Regions from separate parts of the Mus musculus genome. Here regions 1 and 2 are each reported to be linked to region 3. Evidence: microRNA targets listed by miRTarBase, many of them from high-throughput screens and not tested one by one. Region 3 holds a microRNA gene; each other region holds the end of a gene's coding sequence.
What was found. Region 3 holds the annotated microRNA mmu-miR-124-3p (UAAGGCACGCGGUGAAUGCC, at 2,049-2,068, opposite strand). A microRNA usually pairs through its seed, bases 2 to 8, with sites in the 3' UTR of a target mRNA and lowers its output. Matches are read on the target gene's strand: a 7mer-m8 pairs with bases 2 to 8, a 7mer-A1 pairs with bases 2 to 7 and ends in A, and an 8mer does both.

Region 1 (7,193 bases), not on the chromosome of region 3:
CTAAAACAGAGCTCTGGCTTCTGTCTTAGGTGCCTGGCAGGCAGAATGGAAACTGGGTCACAAGGTCCAATACCAGAGCTACTTCCTGCTCTATTAATTTACTTCACTTCTATCTGTCCTGCTACCCTGGCAAACAGGTCGCAGCCAAGTGATTTTCAAAGTGTGTGTGTGTGTGTGTGTGTGTGTGTGTAGTTCAGAGGAAACTTTATGGGGCCGGTTCGCACCTTCTACCCTGTTGTGGGTCCTGGGGGATCTGACTCAGGTTGCCAGGTTCCTGTAGCGGGCGGCCTTACAGGTTGAGTCACCTTGCTGGCCCTGAGTGATGTCTAATTGAAATTTACTTACTGTGACTCTCTGGAAACTTGACACAAACCTCTGGAATAGATAGGGGAGAAGTTAGATGACAAATATAAAGAAGCCCCCGTAACCAAAGAAAAGATATGGCCATCAGCTGCTGCCTGTGGGGAGGGATGACATTCAACCGCCTGTCTGCTCCTCTTTGCAGCTTTAAGGAGTCCCTGTGCCTATGGCTGGCCCACGCGCTGTGTGCAAATGCTCTTCCCCAGCCCCTCACAATAGGCTTTTGGCTGGATGGTGGGGAAGGCAGGGCCAAATAGTGACTCTGATCTTCAAGGAGTCGAAACTAGGATGGAAGACGTGTAGAGCTGCTTTCGCATAGATCTGGGTGGCTCACACTAATGTGCTGTGAGCTCACACTGCCCTCACACAGGGGGAAAGGGTAGTATTTCTGTGGCTTGGTGGTTGAAGGACAGGTGCAGGGGCTGTGGCGCCCCAGGAAGAGAGTCGGATGGGTCATTACTAGCTTGGGTGGCAAGGCCTGTCTAGGAGGCTGCAGTAAGGTTCTCTAGAGGTGTCCTGTCTGGTCCTTTTGGCCTCTCTGGGTATGTTGGGAGGAGGGATTGTGCACTAATGGGACTGGAACCTGGGTGGGGTTGTTGTTTGAGACAGGGTTTCTCTGTCCTAGAACTCACTCTTCAGACCAGGTTGGCCTCCAACTCAGAGATCCACCTACCTCTGCCTCCCAAGGGCTGGGATTAAAGGTGTGTGTCACCATGGCTGGGCACATGGGTGTGTTTTTGAGGGCTATGTGCTTGTTAAGGGAAGGATTGCGTCCCAGGAAATTAAAGCCAGGCAGCGTTGAGAAACTCCTGCAAGCTCCAAAGCTAGAGAGAAGGGTCTGGAAGGAGAAGGAATGAGAGAGAGAGACCGGCATGTACTCTCAAGGCCCCTCCTGCCCTGTCTGGGGGCGGTTCTGTCTGGTTTTAGCGTTCTTAGAGGAAATGGTTTCACGGGTGCTGTCTTCCAGCTGTTTGGCCAGCTGTGAGTAATGTCCTTCAATGCCCCTGACTGGCAAGCTGTTGCTTCTGGCACATCCGTGTGATTTGTTCCGTCAGGGCCGCCTTGCACCTGTGAGAGGTTACAGACCGAAGCTGAGGCCTGAGCTGTAAAGACTCATGACTGAGTCTCTCTCTCTACAGAGAGTCCAGCCTCTCTCTCCAGGGAGGGCCAGACACCAGCACACGGTCTTGTGGACTATGGCAGGAGGTGTAACCCTTCCCCCCCCATTTACCTCAGAGTGTTATGGAAATAACGATTGGGAAGTATTTTTTAAGTGGAAGCACTCCTGTTTTTAAAGATATTTGCTTGTTTAATATGTAAGGTGGTTGTTCCCAGATCACAGAAAGAAATGTATTGGAAATGCATAAGGGACATTTGCATGTGGTCGGGAGATAGAGGTGTGTGTGTGTGTGTGTGTGTGTGCGCGCGCGCGCACTGCAGAACAAAGCCACCCATGCCATGATGCTTCTCATTCAAGTCATACTGTCACTTAAGTTGTACACTGTTGCTTTGGGAAAGGAAAGGGGATCTTCAACATTATCATTGTCATCGTTGTCGTTATCATTGTCATCATCATCATCACCACCATCGTTTACTTAGGAGACAGGGTCTCCTCCCTATGTAGTCCAGGTTGGCATCAAACATATGGTGATCCCCCTGCCTCAGCCTCCAGAGCACTGGCATTACAGACATGTGCCACAAGCCCAGCTTTACCAAGCAATACGTCCTTTTAGTGGTATTCTGGGACCACACTGCATATGGGTTGACACATTATGACTCCATCTTTGCACAGAGCTGGTATAAAAAAACAAGCCGGTTGTTCATCAAAGACTTTGAAAGCATCCTCAAAGACAGTCTTTGGAGTGGGGCTGACCTGTGTTTGACTCTGGGAATGGGTCAAATCTGAGCTCTTTGTCTGTGTTGGAAACTGAAAGGGGCTGGCGTGTAAAGACGCCCATTCTGGCTGGCTTCTGCCCCTCTGCGTTCTTAGCCAAGACTTAACAGGCTTTGGGGGCTGTACTCTGTACTGGTGACTGCTGTGTCTGCTGTGTCGCAGAGAGTTGCCCCAGGGGACCCAGGTGGGTAAATGAACAACAGCAGGGATTCCTCCCCCTCCCCCCACACCCCCAAGAAGAAAGGCCTGCAGATCCTGAAAAGGTTTGGGTTATGCCTGCAGAGTACAGAAACCTCAAAAGCTGACTGAAGTTCTGAGGAAGCTATTTTTGAGTGGCGGCCTGCTGTGAGGAAAGCTTTCAGGGCAAGCTTCTTTCAGGCTCATTGTAGCTTCCCACCCGACCAACCGACCAACCGCCTGTACTGCCTCTGGTGTTTATCTCCATCTACTGGCGTGAAGGTGGACTCTCCTTCCATTGAGAGGCAGGCAGTTCTGGCTGCCTTCATGTGGATTAGCGTAGAGACCTGGTAAGAAGGGGAAGTTTCTGGAACAAAAGAGAGCCAGGATTGTTTATTAAAGAAGAGAAATGCTATTTTACATATTGGTACGGGCAGCCTGGTTGGTGTCCCTCCAGTCAGTATCTTTTCTGCTGAACTTATGGTAGGCAAGCTGTCTTTTCAAATGCCTGGAGAATGGTGGTGTCCACTCTACACCCAGGGCTTAAAACCCCCACTAGTATTTAATTTGCTTTCAAATCTGTCATTTGAGGAGAACAGCAGAACAGCCCATGTCTATTATGGTCAGCATCTGCTGAGACAGCCCAAAGGCTAGGCAGGGTCACCTGGCAGCCGTCGGCTTGGCAAGCTTTGGCTAGGACCTCGGTTAAGGCTGTTGGCTGAACACCTGTACTGGCCTTCTCTTCATGGCTGCTTGGCACCCTCTGAACAGGGTGACTGAGTTCCAGGAGAAGGTAGTTCCGGGAAGGTTGGCAGAAATTCGGACCTAGTTTCGGAAGTCACTCAGCATCGTTCCTGCCTTGCCACAGGTGGCCTGGACTCAGGAGCCTAAACCCAGGAAACAATGGTGTCTCTCTGTGGGAAGGGCTTCAGCACCATGTTTTAAGACGCACAGCTAACAGCCATAGAAAGTCCTGGCTGGGGCATGGTGGCATGGCTGTCCCAGGAAGTATTACGAAACACCAAAGCAAGACAGTTTTGTCTTAAAGTTTCCAACGCAGAATAAGGGTGTGTTAGGGTGGAGAGAGGGTACTGTAATGGAAAACAGAATTTGCTGTTTAACCAGTTTCTGTTCATTTGTGATGCATTCTAAGAGGTAGAATCTGCTCTGCTTTTACATCACAGAATGAAGTCTCGATTAGGGCCTTCTCGATGTCAAGGGTGTTTGTCTAAGATTGGTGGTATGTCTAAAATTCGTATGGTTTAAATTTTCATACATATGGAATTTTTGGTAGAAAGGGATTCCGATTAATTGATGATTAGGCACTTAGAATATTTATTAAATAATTTAAGTATTATTAAGTAGCTTGTATTATATATTTAAATAATTAATCATTTCTTCATTAATGATATTTTACTTAATCTTATACCAAATCCCTACTAATAGATTCAGTCATTATCATCTTTTTTGTCCCAATAAAATCATTCTCTAACTCACAAGCCTAGGCGCTAAGTATCTGGATATAAACGCAGATGCACCTTAGCCACAACTGAGTTGCGCTCTCTGGACCTCCATTTTCTTCATTGTAAGTTTGGAATATTTTGTCATATGGACACTGACATACAAGATGTCTATTTGGGGTACCTTGAGCTGTGTGAGGGAGATAGCCCAGATCACTTTAGCCTGTCTCCCAGGATCTGAAGGTCCCAGCAATGGGAAAGGCATTCATATGACTACCATGGAAATGGGGGTGAGAGCTCTTTGTAGTGAAGGCAGTTCCCAAAGGTAATAGCTGGTGGGTTTCCAGGCCCTTCCGTGGGATCAGTAGTAGATCACTTGTGTGGCATGACAAGGCCTTAGGTTTTTGGTTTTTTCTTTCTGTGTGTATGGATGTTTTGCCTGCATGTATATCTGTGCACCATTTATATGCCTGGTGCCCACAGAAGCCTGAAGAGGGCATCATATTCCCTGGGACCGAAGTTACAGGTGGTTGTGAGCTGTGAGGGGTTCTAGGAATTAAACCTACTGACTGGTCCTCTGGAAGATCAGTGCTCTTAACTGCCAAGCCACTTCACCAGAAGGTTTTGGATTTGATCTTTACACTACACACTAAATGACCTTGGTCACACACCAGAGTCCAAACTAAGACCTCTTTCAAGCCATTAATCTTCCCTCTTTCTACTTTCAGCCATGCAGACTTACTAAACTCCATACTGGAAAATCTTTTACATATGTTGGAATTTAGTTTTTAATTAAAATGTATATTTTCTCATGATCTTAAACATGTATAGGATGTACTGAGATCATATCCACAAACCCCGCTGCCTTCTCGTTTCCGCCTCCTACTTTCCTGCTTCTGTGCTTGTGTGTATGAGTAAGTTTAATTAGGGCTGCCTGCATGAACATGGGGAGGGAATAGTTACTGGAGTATGTGCTATACCATTTGAAGAAAGGACTCCCATTCCCCTAGCAACTATTAACAGCCAGTTGCTGTGGTGTCTGTGTGTGTGTGTGTGTGTGTGTGTGTATTTCATCAGTCCCTCTCTATACATGATGAAGGACCACATCTTGTACAGGTTTTGTGTAGTTAGCTATGAACGCAACGGCCACATCGTATCCAGAAGATGAAGTGCTGAAGCTGGGGTCTGTTATCCTTCATAGACACAGACAGCATGCGCTGGAGAGGAACGGTGTAGAGATTGGAATGTTGATGCTAGGCGTCCAGATGATGTTGCCTGGGTCGGAACCTCAGTCTTGGGTTAGAACACTTTTATTTCCACAGTTTGAACATTTCTAGCTTCAAAGAAATGTGTCTAAAGGAGAATGTGGATGTGACAAACGGGCTGTGGGGCTGTTCCCACAGTCACAGGGACTCCTCTGAGAAAGCATTTGCAGAGATCAGACAAGATTAGGTCAACAATGTGCTTGTACTTTTATTATAAAAGTAAAATAAAAAAGTAAATAGCATTTATAAATTCAACATTTCTTCTTTTAAAGTATTTGATTTAGAAAACATATTTACAATAGTAAAATGCATAAAACGGGGAAAATACTATTTTCAGCACTGATTGTAGCATGTTTTAAATATTGTAAGTTCATGTGTTTTTTATTTTTAAATCACAGATAAACCACATTAAAAAAAGAAATGTCTTTTTTTTATTGCGCATCAAGGTACTCATTTAAAAATATGTTTTTCCTTAATCTTAATTTGAATGCACAACTTACAGTAGATGGCTAGAAAGGACACCGGGTGGGGACAGCGACACCTTTTAATGACAGCAGGAACCCAGCGGAGGGACAGCAGTAACAACACAAAGCAAATGTGATCCAGTAGCAGCAGAGAAAGCTCAAGACACTGCACCTGAGCCATAGAGTGCAGCTGAGCGAGCGAGCGCCATGATTGCTAGACACCGTCTGTGCGTGGCAACTACATTTCATTTCAGAACCAAGAAAGGACGCCAAATTCGGAAGGCCTTGAATGAAATCGAGTGACCCTGCAGGCCGGCGATTCTCCAGCACCTTTGGATTCGCTTTGCCTTCCTCCTTTGGGACGATGCAATGGACTGTCAGGGCTTTGGTTTACACAGTGTGGGGGAACGGCCAGCAGGCTAAATTTTGCCTTCAATAGGTCCTTCCTGCCCATAACCGTGGGGCATTTTGTTCAGAGATAGCAGTGGGCTGTCTCCAGTAAGAGACTCTGTAAAGCTGAGTTTGCGGAAGGATGTCTCCACACCACTGTCACAGACGCTGTCACTATCCCGGAGTTCATCTGCGGAGAAAGCACAGACTCATGAGGGGCTGAGTTAGGCCATGGCAAGGGCTTTGTTCTGCCTGCTGTCCCTGTCACCTTCAACTGTCAACTTCACACGTCTAGAATCACTTGAGGAGGGAGGTGCAGATGAGGGAGGGCCCAGCCAGATGAGACTGGTCTGTGGGCGTGTCCTGACAGTTAACTGACTGGAGGAGGACCTATCCTCTGTAGACAGCACCACTCCCTGAGAGGCAGTCCAGGGCTGTGTAAGAAAGCCAGTGGAGCATGAGCCCATGAGGCAGCAAGCCGGGGTGCTCAGCAGTTTCAGATTCAAAGTCTTTGGGTTCCTGCCCTGAATCCCTTCCATGATGGATAGGAGCTGGGGGCTGATATAAACCCAGAGAGCTTTGTCACAGTGCCCTAGAGCACCATCCACAGCAGTGGGCTCCCTCCCAGGCTCCGTGTGGACTATGGTATGGAGGGTTGTGCTTGCTAGCTCCTGCGCAGCACGGCATCCCACCTCCCCATCATGCCACCGGTGCTGCTTGGCTGTGTGAATGGCAGGGTTATCAAATGACATTAGAGAGTGCTACAGGGTACATCAGTCTTTCTGTTGAACAGAATCTGTTCTGAATTCTCTTGGTTCAGGATAAACATGTTTTCCTTTGTAAAGTGAGGCATATTTTTCTAACTGCTCTATCATTTTACCTTTTGTCTTTTTTTTTTTTTTTTTTTTTTTTAACGGCTGGGCAAACTGCTGAATACAAGGCAAAATAAACTCATAACAGAAGCAGGAACTAAAAATGGCACCTTTCTCTGAGCTGTATGAGCTTTTAAAGAATACACATTGCCTAGAAAATTTTCTTTTGGTGCAAGAAAATGAGGCTTTTTTTTTTTTTTTTAAATGTGTCTATACCAAAAGCTTAAGTTAAATTCTATCGCCTGAAAAGCATTCCTGGGAACCAGAGCAGATTATTTCTGTACAGAGTGACTAAAGAAACAGAAGCATAA
Region 2 (7,193 bases), not on the chromosome of region 3:
GTCACGTGCAGCACGCAGGAAAGCTTGGTTCTGTTAGTGTTAGTGGCCATTCTCCCTCCAGTCAGAGGGGATCTTTTCTGAAGCATGAAAATCAGACTTTCCTGAGAATTTCATCTGTGCTTTCTAACATCCAGAGGATGCCCCCAACTCCTGTGTGAACAGCTGTTCCTCAGCTTCTGGGTCCACTTATTTCGTTTTGTGGTGCTGGGATAGAACTCGGGGTCCCACGTGTGTTAGGCATGTGTTCTGCCACTAAGCCACTCCCCACTCACCCTGCCTACTTGTGAGGCCTGAGCACAGGCAGGCCGTGCAGAAGGCAGCTCCACCTGCCTCCAGCAGCCCCCTCTGCTGGTGCTCTGTAGTAAAGGCACCCGGCAGTTAAGGCTGGCAATTGCTCTGGTGGTCCACTTCCTCGGGCAGGGTTGCTCCTTGGCCTCCTTCCCTCTAAAGACCACTTTGAAGTCTTCATACTGGGCTGCCCATTTCTCTTTAGCTGGGCCCCACTGACCCTCTGCCTCTGCCCACAGGCGTGGGGACCTGCCATTTGTCGTGACTCGCCGAATTGTTCGGAAAGGCACTGGCGACTGCTCAGACGAGGAGGTCGACGGTAAAGCAGATGGGGCCGATGCCAAGGCAGCTGAATAGGAGCTTCTCCTGCAGCCCAGGCGGATGGACAAACGGCTCTGCCTCCCTCCCCCAACCCTCCACACCCCTGCCTTGAGACTGCTCTGACCATGTCCCCCTCCTCCCAAGGCCTTCCCGAGGGCATTGGCTTCCTCTGCTGCAGCCCTTCCAGTCCTCCATACCCTTTGAGAATCTGATACCAAAGAGTCCAGGCTGGCTCAGGCCGGATGACCCACAGGGTCTTGTCCTCCTTGCCTGAAAGCACGGGTGGTGGGCAAGAAGGGCGGCCATTGGAGTAGGCACAAGAGTTTTCTATGAATCTATTTTGTCTTCAGATAAAGATTTTGATAGCTCAGGCCTCTAGTAGTGTTACCCTCCCCGACCTCGGCTGTCCCCGTCCCCCGTCCCCCCTGCTGTTGGCAATCACACACGGTAACCTCATACCTGCCCTATGGCCCCCTTCCCTGGGCCCTATTGGTCCAGAAGGAGCCTCTGTGCTGGGTGCAGAACATGGGGCACTCTGGGAATCCCCCCACTCCCTTCTGGGCAGCACTGGTGCCTCTGCTCCTCCGACTGTAAACCGTCTCAAGTGCAATGCCCCTCCCCTCCCTTGCCAAGGACAGACCGTCCTGGCACCGGGGCAAACCAGACAGGGCATCAGGGCCACTCTAGAAAGGCCAACAGCCTTCCGGTGGCTTCTCCCAGCACTCTAGGGGACCAAATATATTTAATGGTTAAGGGACTTGCAGGGCCTGGCAGCCAGAATATCCAAGGGCTGGAGCCCACTGTGCGCTCTGGTGCCTCTCCTAGGACTGGGGCCAAGGGTGGTCGAGCTGTGCCACCCACTCTATAGCTTCAAGTCTGCCTTCCACAAGGATGCTTTTGAAAGAAAAAAAAAGGTTTTATTTTTCCCTTCTTGTAGTAAGTGCTCTAGTTCTGGGTGTCTTCACTGCCTTGCCCTGGAACTGTGTTTAGAAGAGAGTAGCTTGCCCTACAATGTCTACACTGGTCGCTGAGTTCCCTGCGCACTGCACCTCACTGTTTGTAAATGCTGTGATTAGGTTCCCTTATGGCAGGAAGGCTTTTTTTTTCTTTTTTTTTTTCTTTTCTTTTTTTTTTTTTTAAAGGAAAACCAGTCAAATCATGAAGCCACATACGCTAGAGAAGCTGAATCCAGGTCCCAAAGGCGCTGTCATAAAGGAGCAAGTGGGACCCGCACCCCTTTTTTTATATAATACAAGTGCCTTAGCATGTGTCGCAGCTGTCACCACTACAGTAAGCTGGTTTACAGATGTTTCCACTGAGCGTCACAATAAAGAGTACCATGTCCTACTCTTTGGTGTCTGGGTGTTTGGCTACAGCGGGAGAAGGCCGGGAAGGGCTGGGCCAGCGGTCACAGGAGAGCACACTTGACTCTGCTTAGTTAGCAGTTTGAGAGGGGGTGTTCCAAGACATCCTGGGCAGCAGCAGGGACCTCCTCCCTCCCTGCAGGCCAAGAGGCTGGACAGCAATGGGCCCAGGGCTGGTTCAGGAATTCTCCTCTCCTTCCACATGCTGGGCTCGCCTTTCTCCTCTAGGAGGAAGGAGGCTCTGGAGGAGATGCTGCGGTTCCAGAGGCAGAAAGTGGGAGGAGTGGGTGGTGAGCAGAAGCTGGGGAGGCGCGCAGTGTGCACCGCAAACACTCAGCATCAGCGGTGGCAGATGAAGCATGTGCACACGTGCACGCACGCGCGCGCGCTCTCCCCCCCCCCCCCCATACACACAAAAGAGGATCCAGAATGTGTCAAACCAACACAGTGACAGAAGCCTGGGAGACAGACTCCCGTTAGACTAGTCAGTTCTCATGGCCGCGCCCCCAGAGCAAGCAGCCTGCAGCCTGCTAGATTTACACAGCTCATCTTCCTGTTTTCATCTGTTACCTGCTCATCCTCAGTGTGCCTCTGTGTCTTTCTCCTTTTTTAAAATTTTCTTTTATTTTATGTATATGAGTAAAATTATAGCTGTCTTCAGACACATCAGAAGAGGGCATCAGATCTCATTACAGATGGCGGTGAGCCGCCATGTGGTTGCTGGGAATTGAACTCAGGACCTCTGGAAGAGCAGCCAGTGCTCTTACCCACTAAGCCATTCCTCCAGCCCCGTCTTTTGCCTTTTATTATTTGTATTTATTCGCAGCACCGGGCTTGGAATCTCTGCCCTGTGTTTCTTAGAAAGATCAGGTCTCCAGCCCTCAACTGTAATTGACTGCAGTGTTGATTTCTGGTCAAGTCTTGTGATGAACATTTTGGGTTATCAACTAGCCTGGCTGGGCGAGCAGCTCTGTGTGGAACCCTAGCCTGGCTGCAGCAGCATCTGACAGAGTTAGGGTACTTTTTTTGGTCTTTATTTTTATTGTATGAATTGCCACGGACTGGGCTCAGTCGGCCCCCCTCAATCCTTGGGAATCAGGGGTTCGGACAGATGGGCATAGAGTCGGCAAGAATTGACAGACAGATGCGGACTCAAGGGAGAGTGCTGAATCTGAATGTATTGTCACAAAGCGAACACCAGTCTTAGGGGTAGGATGTCACAGCAGGCACAGTACATTGAAGTTACCTGACACAAAATAGAGGAATGACTTCAAAAGGACTTACAGGAACCAGGTAATGTTTACAGCCCTGCCTAGGGTCAGCTAATGACAGGAAAGGATTTCACACCCTAGTCACGGTTTGTGCTACTCCTCTGAGCCTTGTGAAAGCTAGCACCAGGGGCTTCTGCTCAAGCAGACCTTATGAATAATGCAATACCACAACCCCCCTATTTCCTAGGCCTTGGTAAATTCTTGCATATGAGTGTAACTTGGCTGTTCTTTTAAGTTATCTGTAGGGAATCTCCATTTGTCAGAAGAATTCACCAACTTACCAACTTACTTCCAATATGCAATATATTCTGCCATACCTGACTGTAATGAAGATTCTAGGTATACTTTGCTAAGCTTGCCCTGAGATTTCTAACTCTTATCCAGTAAAATACTGTAAGAAAGCATGCAAGACCCTCCACAATATTGCAGGGACAAATTTGTGGCATCCTAGCTATGGGAATGCCAAGGTTCCTTGAAACTCTGCCTCAGGAATGCTTCCAGGTTTCTAAACCTGTAATTCGAGTCACTACTGGAGTAGATGTAGCAATGAATCTTTTGCCTGCATGTCTCTGTGGATCTCAGAAGAGGGCATCAGATTCCCTGAAACTGGAGTTAAAAGGCAGCTATGAGCCACCACTTGGGTGCTGAGAATTGATCCCGAGTCTTGCAAGAGCGGCCAGTGCCGCTCTGATTCATCGCTCTGGCCCTCTGAGAGTCCAATCTTATAACCACTGCAGACCTGCTGCCTCAGAGAATCTGGACACAGGATGCCATCAGTCCTCCAGAGGATTCAGGTGCATGCCAGGCTCCCAGAGCCTGGTGCGGGACCTGCAGGGGTGTCCAGTCAGGAGGATGGAGATGGCAATCTTTGCTCTAACCTCATGGATGCTTCATTCCCCTCCTGAATAAAACGAGTGGCAAACCCTACTTTCTAGACCAGCCTCTATTGGTTCTGCCTTTCCTAGGGTTACTGTAGCTTACCACATGCCAGATAGCCTACAACAGAGAGCTACTCTCAAGTTCAAAGCTGAGGTGTTTTCTCCGAGAGAATCTGGTGGGTCCATGTATCCCATGGCTTGGACCAGCACCACCCCAGTATCTGCTTTGTCTTCATGTGGCCTGCTTCCCCCATCTTTAAAATATTTTTAAGGATAAAGATGTTTTATGGGCTGGAGAGATAGATGGCTCAGAGGTTAAGAGAACTGACTGCTCTTCAAGAGGTCCTGAGTTCAATTCCCAGCAACCACATGGTGGCTCACAATCATCTGTAATGGGATTTGGTGCCCTCTTCTGGCCTGCAGGCATACATTCAGGTAGAAGGCTGTATACATAATAGAAGGACACTTGGCATTGGATTTAAGGCCCACACAAGTAATCCCAGATTCTTGGTTTACGGGCTCTGCCAACACCGTACTGTGGCCTCCATTCTGGTTATAGCAGCTAGGTGCTATGAATTTCAAGGCCATGCTGTGCCATGACAGTGACATCAGCCAGCCTTCTTCAGTGACTAAGGAGTGTGTTGCAGAGCTGTCTAGTGGGGTGGCTCCCCAGCCCCTCTTCCCTCCTATTTGAGAGTCTGCCGAACTTGAGCCTGGATCCTCTCTCCAGCACCCCTCTCATCCTCAGCGCTAGACAGTCTGGAGGCAAACTCCAGCCTCTTGGGTTGCTAACTTGCCTGTCTGAAATCAGAATCCCAGAGCTGCTGTGTTCACCCAGCCGGTGTGTCTGATGCTCCTGACCATTATATGTGCATCAAGCCGAGGGCAGTGCTACTTGTGTGTCATTGCAAAAGTCCAATAATTGTGATTTAGATCCTGTCATTTTTACATTCATTCTAAATCCCGAAGCTGACACATCACATTTGGAGACATGACATCCCATCTGAGCAAAGACAGGACAGTTCTCTGAATGAGGCTGGTGGCCAGGCTGTGGTGGCTGGGAGCAGTGGTCGCCCTTCTCACTCCCAGGCTGTCATGCAGTGCTATCAATGAGGGAGATGTTTTTTTTTTCTCCCGTGTTTTGCAGTCCTGACAGGTTAGTCTGGGGTGACCATTTAAGTACATTAGAAGCCCCGTGCCCAGTGCTCAGTTGGCAGGTCCCTGTCCCCTTCTGCATTCTCCGAGAGGAGGGTGCCTGTCTTGGGACAGCCAGTGTAGCATCCAGACAAGCATTTAAAACGTAGCTTGTCTGCACCAGTGAGTGCTGGGATGGGAGTGATCATGGTGGCCCGATGCTTTGGCTGCTGATCCCTCCACCATCCACTAGATGGTGCTGTACCCTGCCTGACTTGCTCCCCAGTTTCAGGGTTGTTTCCTTTGCGTTAGGATCCCCGTGGCCGTCGTTGCCAAAGATTAGGCTGAGATGTCAAGCAGGACATCCTGGGACACTTGCTTCGGATGCCACCAGTCAAGCTGAGCTATTGAGTAGCAGATTTTCAGATGCTGAGGAGTTTCTAGGGTTCAAGATCTCTATGCCCTAACCTGCCAAGTGAGTCCTATCCAGGGGGTTCCATCCAAGACTGTTGGAGAGACCATGTTCTGGTCTATTCCATGCTCTGATTAGAAGGTCTCCGTTACTGCTCTCTGGCTCATAGGGGAATTTACCTGGTTCTGCACCTTGAAGTACTTTTGTTTGGCTGTTGAGTTAATATTAATATCAATCCTGGTATTGGTACCAGGTAAGGGGTGTGTGTGTGTGAAAACTTGATGGAAGGGAAATTATAGAAAAAAAATGATCCCAAAATTACCAGAAGCAAAAAGGGGGATTATGAGTGCCACATGTCAGAATGTTTATCTTAGTTTGAATCTTGGCTCTGCCTCCCTGGTTGTCTGACAGGGACTAAATCTGGCTCCTAAAGATGTGGACAGCCCAAAAGCTCTCATCCAATTGTCCTTTTGGGCATCACTCTGTTTCAGGGCCTATGGGGGGCGAGGAAACTGAGGGCCCAGTCAGTAGTGGGGTGATTTGCCAAGGGCAGACTAGTCAGCTGGATCACAGGCTCACATCTCCCCTGACTCCTGTTATCAGTATGTGAGGGATGAAGGCAGAAAGCAGGAGCTGTCCTGGGTGTCTGGATAGGCAAGGACACAAGGTGTGGGGACTAAGAGGGGCACATTGCCAAACACCATCCCCAGAGCAATACCAGCTCTGCAATCCTAAGATCACTGAGTAGACCATTGGGTGTGAGAGAGAGAGACTCTGAGTGTGCAGAAACGCACAGGCTAATTCCGTAGAAATTCTAGTCTCCCCATATAGCCAGGTCTGGCTCTAAACCTATCATCTTTTCATCTAAGCTTCTTCCTGAGTGCTGAGATTCTAGGTTTGTGCCACCAATGTGGCCTTTTAAGGTCCCACTTAGTGCTTCAGTCTCAGAGTAAATGGGCCAGCATGGGTCTCCACTCTGCCCACCAGGAACCTGTGTTTTCAACCGATGGATACATCACCTGTGCTGTTGACCCCCCCAAGGCCACTGCCCACCTGTGGGGTGGGGTTAGAGTCTCTACAGTGGGAGCCAGGTGCCACAGCCACTGTGGGAAGATGAAGGGGCAGAAAGAACAGGAGTGTCCCATTGTGGAGTGGGAAAGTCTCACTACAGGGTCAGCCACAGCAAAGACACGGAGGTGTCATGGTCACTGAGGCAGGATAGACTTGAAGGTGTATGTATGATAGAAGCAGGGGCTGGTTGGGAGGGGGGAGACTGCAGTGGGCTTGAGGCCTGGAGTGCTGACTAAAGGGGATTCAACTTGACCCTGAGAGATCATCAAGGACCCCTTAGAAGGAGCAAGGTGTCTTCCCTCCCTCCCTCCCTCCCTCCCTCCCTCCCTCCCTCCCTGCTCTGAGGATGCCCTGAAACCATCAGAAGGGATGGGGTTGGAGGGTTGCTTTGCGCAACTCTGCTCGGGTTCCAGCTGGGAAGAAGAGGGCTCCTATCAGGGCTGCACAGCCAGCC
Region 3 (7,193 bases):
GGACTTTACTTGGGGAAGCATCTGGGGGTTACGTAAGATGAAATATCGGTGAAGGACGAGGGGACATTTGAAAGAATCATGGGGAAGCAATTACTGAGTAGAGGATTGCTAATGGGGATATTTGTGGTCCAGGGGGGTTGGGCCATCATCTGCTTAGGCCATTGCTTGAAGGCAAAATAACATCTCAATGAGCACGGGGGGGGGGGGGCAAATGGGTGTACCCCCAAAATGGTACAGCACACTAGCCGTTCTCTTCTAACCCATTTGTGAAGTGAGGGAGCACCCCAGGAAAGGGCCAATTTTTATTTCAAGGGAGGTAGATTTTCTCGAAGCAATGGCTATGGCGTCTCTTAGGACAGCCATTGTGGCTGGGTCTTTCCCTTTCTGCCTTGAAAGCAGTCTGGCTTGTCCGGTAGGACTCAGCCAGAGACACCCTCAGGGTGTGGGCACTGCAGCTTTCTGCCTGCAAGAGTAAGCAGGCGGTGGCTTATTTCTGCAGAGCGGGAGAAGGTTCTGGGAATGCCTAGGTGGAATGTGGTAAATTGAAGCTCAGCCTGGCTAGCTCTAACATTCTCTTCTGTGAGGAAATTTAGAAGTTGAAATCATCGTAAAGAAGGACACATAGTAGATACTCAAGAAATAATGAATACTCTTGAGGAAACTAGGCCAGAGAGGTACTGATCTATGATATACCCTCAAATACTAATTTACTAGACTAGATGAGGCTGAGGCTTTTTGAGACAAGAGTCCTCCATTAACTTCAACGGATGCTCTTTTAGACCCTGATTACTGTGTTAGGAATCAGATTAAACTCCTAAACATCCTTCATGGGCTTGGCCTTGCAAAGGCAGGCCTCTGGCATGACAGCAGGGGGGAGGGCTACAGCCTGCTTCCTGGGGGTGGGTTGTGGGGGGGGGGAGGAGGCCAGCTCTTGGCCTCCTTTCCCTCCCTCTGCTGCTGGGTCCTGCCCCTCCTCCATTTACTCCACCTGAAAATTAATGAGTTTAGGTCGGCCACCAGGCCATCATCCATCCACTGCAGGTTGGCGGAACACTGAGATGGAGACGGGATGGAACTGTGTCGGGGGCCTCCAGGACCAGCTGCTGCTGTTGGGGGCTGATTTGGGAAGCAGGTGCTTCAGGATGAGGGAGGATTAACCCTTTCTGTTCCTGGACAGCCTGCTTCAAAACAGACTTTCCTTAGGCCTCCACCTTACTCATGCTGATTTTCCTTCTGTCTTGGGGTTTTAAGAGCGATGGGGAGAGGCCCACACTCTGGGGGCTGGGGGTGGGCTGCGCCTCCTTTTCCTGTAGCTTCTGGATTTCTGCCTGAAACTTCAGCCACAGCCCCAAGGAGGCTGGGAGGCCCTGCTTTAGAGCAGTGGGCTAGCTGTCAGTTTTGATGGAGTCTGTGCGCTGTCCATGAACAAATTTGCCGATCGCCTTCGCTCACTCCAGAGATCTGTTTAAGCTTGTCAAATGCCCACAGCTCTCCACCAACGGGTGACAAACAGCTTCCCCTAAAGACTACCCCAGCAACCCCAAGCACAATACAAGGTAGCTGCAGTCTAGGCTTTGGGGCAGTCTGCCAGTCGCATGGGTACTTGGTTATTATTATTTGTTTAAGGGTAATAAATTGAAATCCGGAACTAAGACAGGTAGGGATGAAGGTGTCGGCCTTCTACAATGGGCAGGGTCCCAGAGCTGAGGGGCACATTTTACTCTCCAGCCGTCCCCAGGCTATTTTCTGCCGCCGCCGCCGCCGCCGCCACCACCACCACCACCCCCCCGCTTGCATAGATCCGTGTTTCTGTCACAGAATGAGTTGTTTGCTTCCTAGATTCTATTTGCATCTGCACAAACCCCTCTCTGTCGGTAGCTGCACACCTCCCCACCCTAAGGGCTACTTTGCGAGGCACTCAGAAGCCTGCTACCCGTACTGTGGGCGCCTGCAGCTGCAGCGCTGAGATCTGCCCAGGGCGTTGTGCTGGGTCGATCCTTCCGTGGCAGGCCCTCGTGGACCCAAGGTGCTCAGACAGCCCCATTCTTGGCATTCACCGCGTGCCTTAATTGTATGGACATTTAAATCAAGGTCCGCTGTGAACACGGAGAGAGAGGCCTTTCTCCTGAGGAAGGAAGAAGGAAGGAAGGAAAGAAAGAAGGAAGGAAGGAAAGAAAGAAGGAAGGATGGAAAGGAAGGAAGGATGGAAGAGAGGGAGGATGGGAGAAAGGAAGGGAGGAAGAAAGGAAGGAAAGGTGGAAAGAAAGGGAGGGGATGGGGAGAAGATGAGATGAAAAAAATGAGAGATGAGAAAGAAAAAGCTGGCGACGCGTGCGTGTGCGTGCGCACTGACAGCAGGGAGGGTGTGGGGTTGGGGAACGCGATGAGCTAAGGACCACCGCATCCTTCCTACCGCAGCTCCCCCAGTCACAGACAATGAGATAACAGCCACGTCCTCCGTAGGCTCTTTGTTCTCCCGCATCCTTTCGTTTCCAAGCTTTTTCCTGCAAAGGGGAGGGGGGTGGAGGGTTCGGGATGTGGGTGGAAGTGGGAGACGGAGGGGTGCCTCCCCCGTGTTAATTACCCCGACTCCCTCACTCCTCTCCTCGCGCTTCGCCTCCCCTGCAGTTCCAGACAATGAAAAAACATCAACCCCACCTCGCCCCACCGCAGCGAATCCTACCCACCCAGTTCGCTCTCAGCTTCGCCTAGGAAACTGAGGGGGGCCAGGAGGAGGGAGATGACGGAGAGGAAAGGGATGGGAAGCAGGGGCCCAGCTACTGCTGCCTGGGCAGGGCTTGTGACCGCCGCCTTTACCTTGAGTGTAGGGTCCGGGTGTAGCCTGGCCGGGCGTGCCGCAGGGCAGAGCTGCTGCGGTCCCTTACCAGGATCTGTGGGAATCAGCCTTCCGGAACTCTCCTGCTGCGGTCCTCTCGCTTAGGTCCCAAGTGGTGGATGGGAAAAAGGAAAAGAAAAAAAAAATAAATAAATAAGAGCGAGGCCCATCTGGCCCCTCATCAGCCTTGTCAAGTCTTGCATACGCTAAAATGCTAATGACCTAGATAGCTCATGCAAAATGCAGCAGGGAGGGACAGAGAAGGAGGGGGAGCGAAGGGAGAGCGAGAGAGGGAGGAGTGAAGGGAGAGGGAGGGGGAGACAGAGGGAGGAGGGAGACTGGGAGGGGGGAGGGGGAAAAGAGAGAGAGAGAGAGCGCGCACCCCTACATGTTCCCCCACCCCACCCGTCAACCGGTTTTACAGAGGTAAAGGGTGGGTGTAGATTTTAAAAGGTCACCCCTATAGAATGTAGCTGGGTGGGGTGGGGGAGAGATCCCCAAATCCATAGGGACAATAAAATATTATTTTAAGACCCCTCCCTCTCTGCTCTCCATCACTCTGTTTACACACAAGTCCAGTCACCTTATGCATGTACATGTCAATTTCACAAGACTGCTTTCAACAGACACCCACGTTGCCATTCCCTGAACAAACCCACCCAGTGCACCAGAGTGAGGAAGGTGCTTCCTAACCCACAGACCTCCCTCACCTGGTCCATCCCACTCCCTACTAGTGCCTTATCCTTTCAGGCAGTCGTCCCCCCCCCCCCTTTCTCTTTTCTAAGCCTTCCCCATTCTCCTTCCCAATGGCTCAAAAAAGCCAGGTAGAGGGCATAGAGGACAAGTTAAATCTAACTGGATCGGTTCCGTTCAGCTTCCCACCCACCCCACAGGGTTGGGGGACACAGTCTTTACCTAACACTGACCCTTTTAAAGCATGCCACAAAAATCAATAAAATTGAGTCCGAATAACCTCAGAGGTCCGCAGGTCCGGCCGGGTACTGTTGGGCAGCGTTGATCTCTCCAATCGGGGAGCCAGAGTTCCGCGCGTCCCAAGACGCTTTGTCCCGGAACCCCCGCACAATATCCTCATCTTTTTGTTCTCCTTTAAAGGATCCTGGTTGCAGTCCGCCGCGTTTCAGCCAGTCCAAACCAAAGGCGGATCTATTGGAATAAAAAGGGATGGGGATAATATACACGCAGATGGATGCGGGAGAGTAGTGGAGGCTAAAGTCAGCCCCGCAAGCAAGGAGCGGCCTCCCTGGCCAAGCCCCAAGTGCTTCCTCGGCTATTGAAGGGAATTGCTGCTGGCAGGCGCTGATGCTGGCTCCACCTGGCCGGAGGAAAAGCATCCTGGCGATGACCCTGAAAGAATTAAGACACAAAACCAAAAAAAAAAAAAAAAAAAAAAAAAAAAAAACCCCAAACCGAACCAAACCACCAAAACAAAAAAGCAAAAAGCCAGAATCCTCCTCTGGTGAACCAGAGCACGCGTGCAGAAGAAACCGCTCTGCTGGTGGCCGCGGTCGAGGGGGAAGGATGCTAGCGCAGGAGGCGAAGGTTGCAGAGGCTGCACCCTCAGATGAATAATAATAACGCGCTGAGAAGTTGCAGTGCAGCTTGGAAATCCAGCCCTGCGCGTGAACTCGCGTCGAGTGCGGATTGCAGGGGATGGGGGAGAAAGGGGGGGGGGTGAGGAGAGAAGAGAGGGGGAGGGGGTGAGGGGATTGAGAGGAAGACAGAGAGAGGGACGCAGAGAATTTAGTGCCTTTTCTTTTAGTCTTACCAAGAGCTGATCTCCTTCACTGTCCTCGTTGGGTGAGGCCGAGGTCCTTTTTAAAAATTATTATTCCTTTAACGGATTATTCAGCTAAGAGAAGCCACATCTGCTGACAGTTCCGAAAACAAGAGGATTAGGAGTAGGTCCACAGAGCCCGGCCCGCAGCCCCCCCCCCCCCCCTCTGCACCAGCACACGTCACTCTCACTGCCCCCGGGCACCTCCCTCTCCTCGCTCGGTGTTCGGGAGGGTTGTGCCAAGAAAAATGCGGATTTGGGGAAAGTGAGAAGTGGGGGTGCTCTCACGAACGGGAAAGCCAAGGCCGGAGGTGGCGATTCGCACCCCCACACTTACACTCGCTTCCGTTTATCCGTTTAGATCCTGGGAGAAGTGGGTGCTTTCACCGCACCCACACGCGCCGCATCTGCAGTGGTCAGAGCCCTCCGATCCCTTGAAGCCACCCTGGCCGCCCCAGACCCTGCCAAAGTCCTCTGGGTGGACTCGGGGGGCTCAATCCTACCCCTGCCTGAATAGCTTCATGGTCTCCAGTCCTCTTTTTCTCAGTCCCCTCCGTGCAATACCGCCGCTAGCCCACTCCCGGTTTCTTGAGCTTCGGTCAATGGAGTGGGGAGCTCGGGGGCACTTGCACACCTTCTGCTTGTCGTCCTCAGCCCGAATTGCCGGGCTGTAGCTCAGCCAGGCTGGTGAGGATGGAGCTGGGTGCTGCTGCGGTTGTGGTTGCTGTCACTGCGGAGAGCGCGAGGCTGCGGGGCGGTGCGGCGACCCGAGCGCCAGTGCAGCCTCCTCCTCACCCCTCCCTAGGCTGGCGTCTGGGCAGGACAGTGCTGGGGGTGGGAAGACGAATGGCGGAAGGTGGGGGGATGGAGGACCATAGTCTCTTGTCGCCCCCACCAACGCCCCCCCCCCCGCAGTCAAGGTGAAAGTGAAGGAGAGCGGGCGCGCGTGCTCGCGCCTCTAGTTGCGTGCGCGCGCTCCTCCCCTGCCCGCGCCCTCCCGCCCGCCCTCGCCCGCCGGGGCCAGATGGACGTCCGAGATTACAGAGGCACAAAAGTGCGTCTACACGTCCAGCCACCCGTCCTGCGGACGTGGAGAGCCACTTCGGGGAGGCGCCTTTTGTTGTACTTGTGTGGCTGTGTAACTGTTTTTCTTTTCCAAGAGCAGAGTTAGCTGTGGCTTAAAGAAGGACCAAGAATGAATGTCCCCCATAAGAGCGAACCAAAAAGACCTTCCCCCACTCGAGCCCCCGCGCCTGCGATGAGAAATCTGTCTTCCCAAAGGGCTATTGCGGCAGCCGCGAGGCAGCCCCGACCTGCTCACGCAGGCCCATCTGCTTTCCCTACGCCTGCTTTTCTTTGATGACTTAAAAGAAACAAATAAACAAACAAACAAAAAAAACTGAACTGTTTCTTGGGCTATGTTGAATTCAAGACATCTAGACAGGGGAGAACAAACTCGGAAAGCTAAAAGCAGTCTTAAATGTTGTGGCTGTCAATGGCCAGTGCAGAGGGTGGTGGCCGCGGCGCCCACCTAGCCCTGATGGACCTCCGGGGATGCCCCCTGGATGGAAGGCCATTTCTGTTTCTGTCAATTGTTAGGTAAGGACCCCAACAGAAGAACGGCTGTAACAAAACCTCCCCCATGTGCTGTTTTTTGCTTCAACACTGTGTGGCTAGAAGCTTAGGAAATAAGCTGTTTTTGTAAATTTCTAGAATTGAGAATCTTAGGAGGGGTGGGTAAGAACTAGAAAACATCCTTGTGACGGATTTTAATTAAAAAAATGTAACTAGTTGGCAAAGGCCCCTCGCTAGGCAATCTTTCTGGGAGCACTGACCACTTTCATAATAGTCCCCACTAAATCGCTGGTCTCTCTCTGCGGTGACTTGGTCTTACTTACCACCATTTTGATCAAGGTTTTTAGCTTTAGGACTATTCTAATGTTCTGTCTATAAAGCATTCCTCGGCAGACAGTTTCGAACCCCTGCACCAGGAAAGGGTGGGGCTGTGACTTGAGGTCTAGTCGGTTTTGACTGAAGAGCAATGGGACATGGAGGATACTTTCCTGTGCTAGACTGTCAGATAGGCCTAGGGTTTTGTTTAGCTTAAGAACGTTTTTAATGCAATTCTCCTGCGCCGTTGCGGCATTGCGGGACGCTGGCTCTCTCGTCTTGCTGCGTGGGGCGCGCGCGCCGGGGTGGGGGTGGAGTGGGGGAGCGGAGACCTGGTTTTGTAACAGGCTCCGCAGGCCCGAGTGGGAACGCCTTAAATGATGAGCCCAGGGTTAAAAAAGAAAAAGAGAAAGGGAGTGGGGGGTAGATACGGCAGCTGATGCTGAATTAATAGTTAGAGCATACCCCTGGGACTTTCTCCAACCAGGGGGTCAGGAGTCCTTGCCCCTCCCCCAGCCACAGATTTCATATCTGTTTTTAACCAGTCTGAGCGGACGGATGCTGGGCCATTTGTAATGGCTTCTTAAAACCTAAACCCTTGGGCTTAAGGGCTGTCTATGCGCCTGATCAAACTCACCCCAAGTACTAACACGTTAAGAAATTACATTGTAA

Region 1: miRTarBase lists Nfkb1 as a target of mmu-miR-124-3p. The part of its 3' UTR that is shown has no 7-base or 8-base seed match.
Region 2: miRTarBase lists Myh9 as a target of mmu-miR-124-3p. Seed matches in the 3' UTR shown: 8mer at 1,865-1,872.

Annotation. Positions count from the first base shown.
Region 1 is chr3:135,579,316-135,586,508 of GRCm38, forward strand. Nfkb1 (nuclear factor of kappa light polypeptide gene enhancer in B cells 1, p105) reads right to left here. Exons shown (of 25, transcript NM_008689.2): 25 at 5,340-6,200. The coding sequence ends at 6,040. Among named protein-coding and RNA genes, the nearest start is that of Gm46827, 26 kb to the right of the region's middle.
Region 2 is chr15:77,755,351-77,762,543 of GRCm38, reverse strand. Myh9 (myosin, heavy polypeptide 9, non-muscle) reads left to right here. Exons shown (of 41, transcript NM_022410.3): 41 at 528-1,959. The coding sequence ends at 645. It also overlaps a transcript of Apol8 not described here. Among named protein-coding and RNA genes, the nearest start is that of Apol8, 3.7 kb to the right of the region's middle.
Region 3 is chr14:64,585,584-64,592,776 of GRCm38, reverse strand. It overlaps Mir124a-1 (microRNA 124a-1), which reads right to left and starts at 2,120; the gene lies at 2,036-2,120. Mir124a-1hg (Mir124-1 host gene (non-protein coding)) reads right to left here and starts at 4,662. Exons shown (of 4, transcript NR_040709.1): 1 at 4,623-4,662; 2 at 3,810-4,000; 3 at 2,818-2,936; 4 at 1-2,504. It overlaps Mir3078 (microRNA 3078), which reads right to left and starts at 1,592; the gene lies at 1,506-1,592.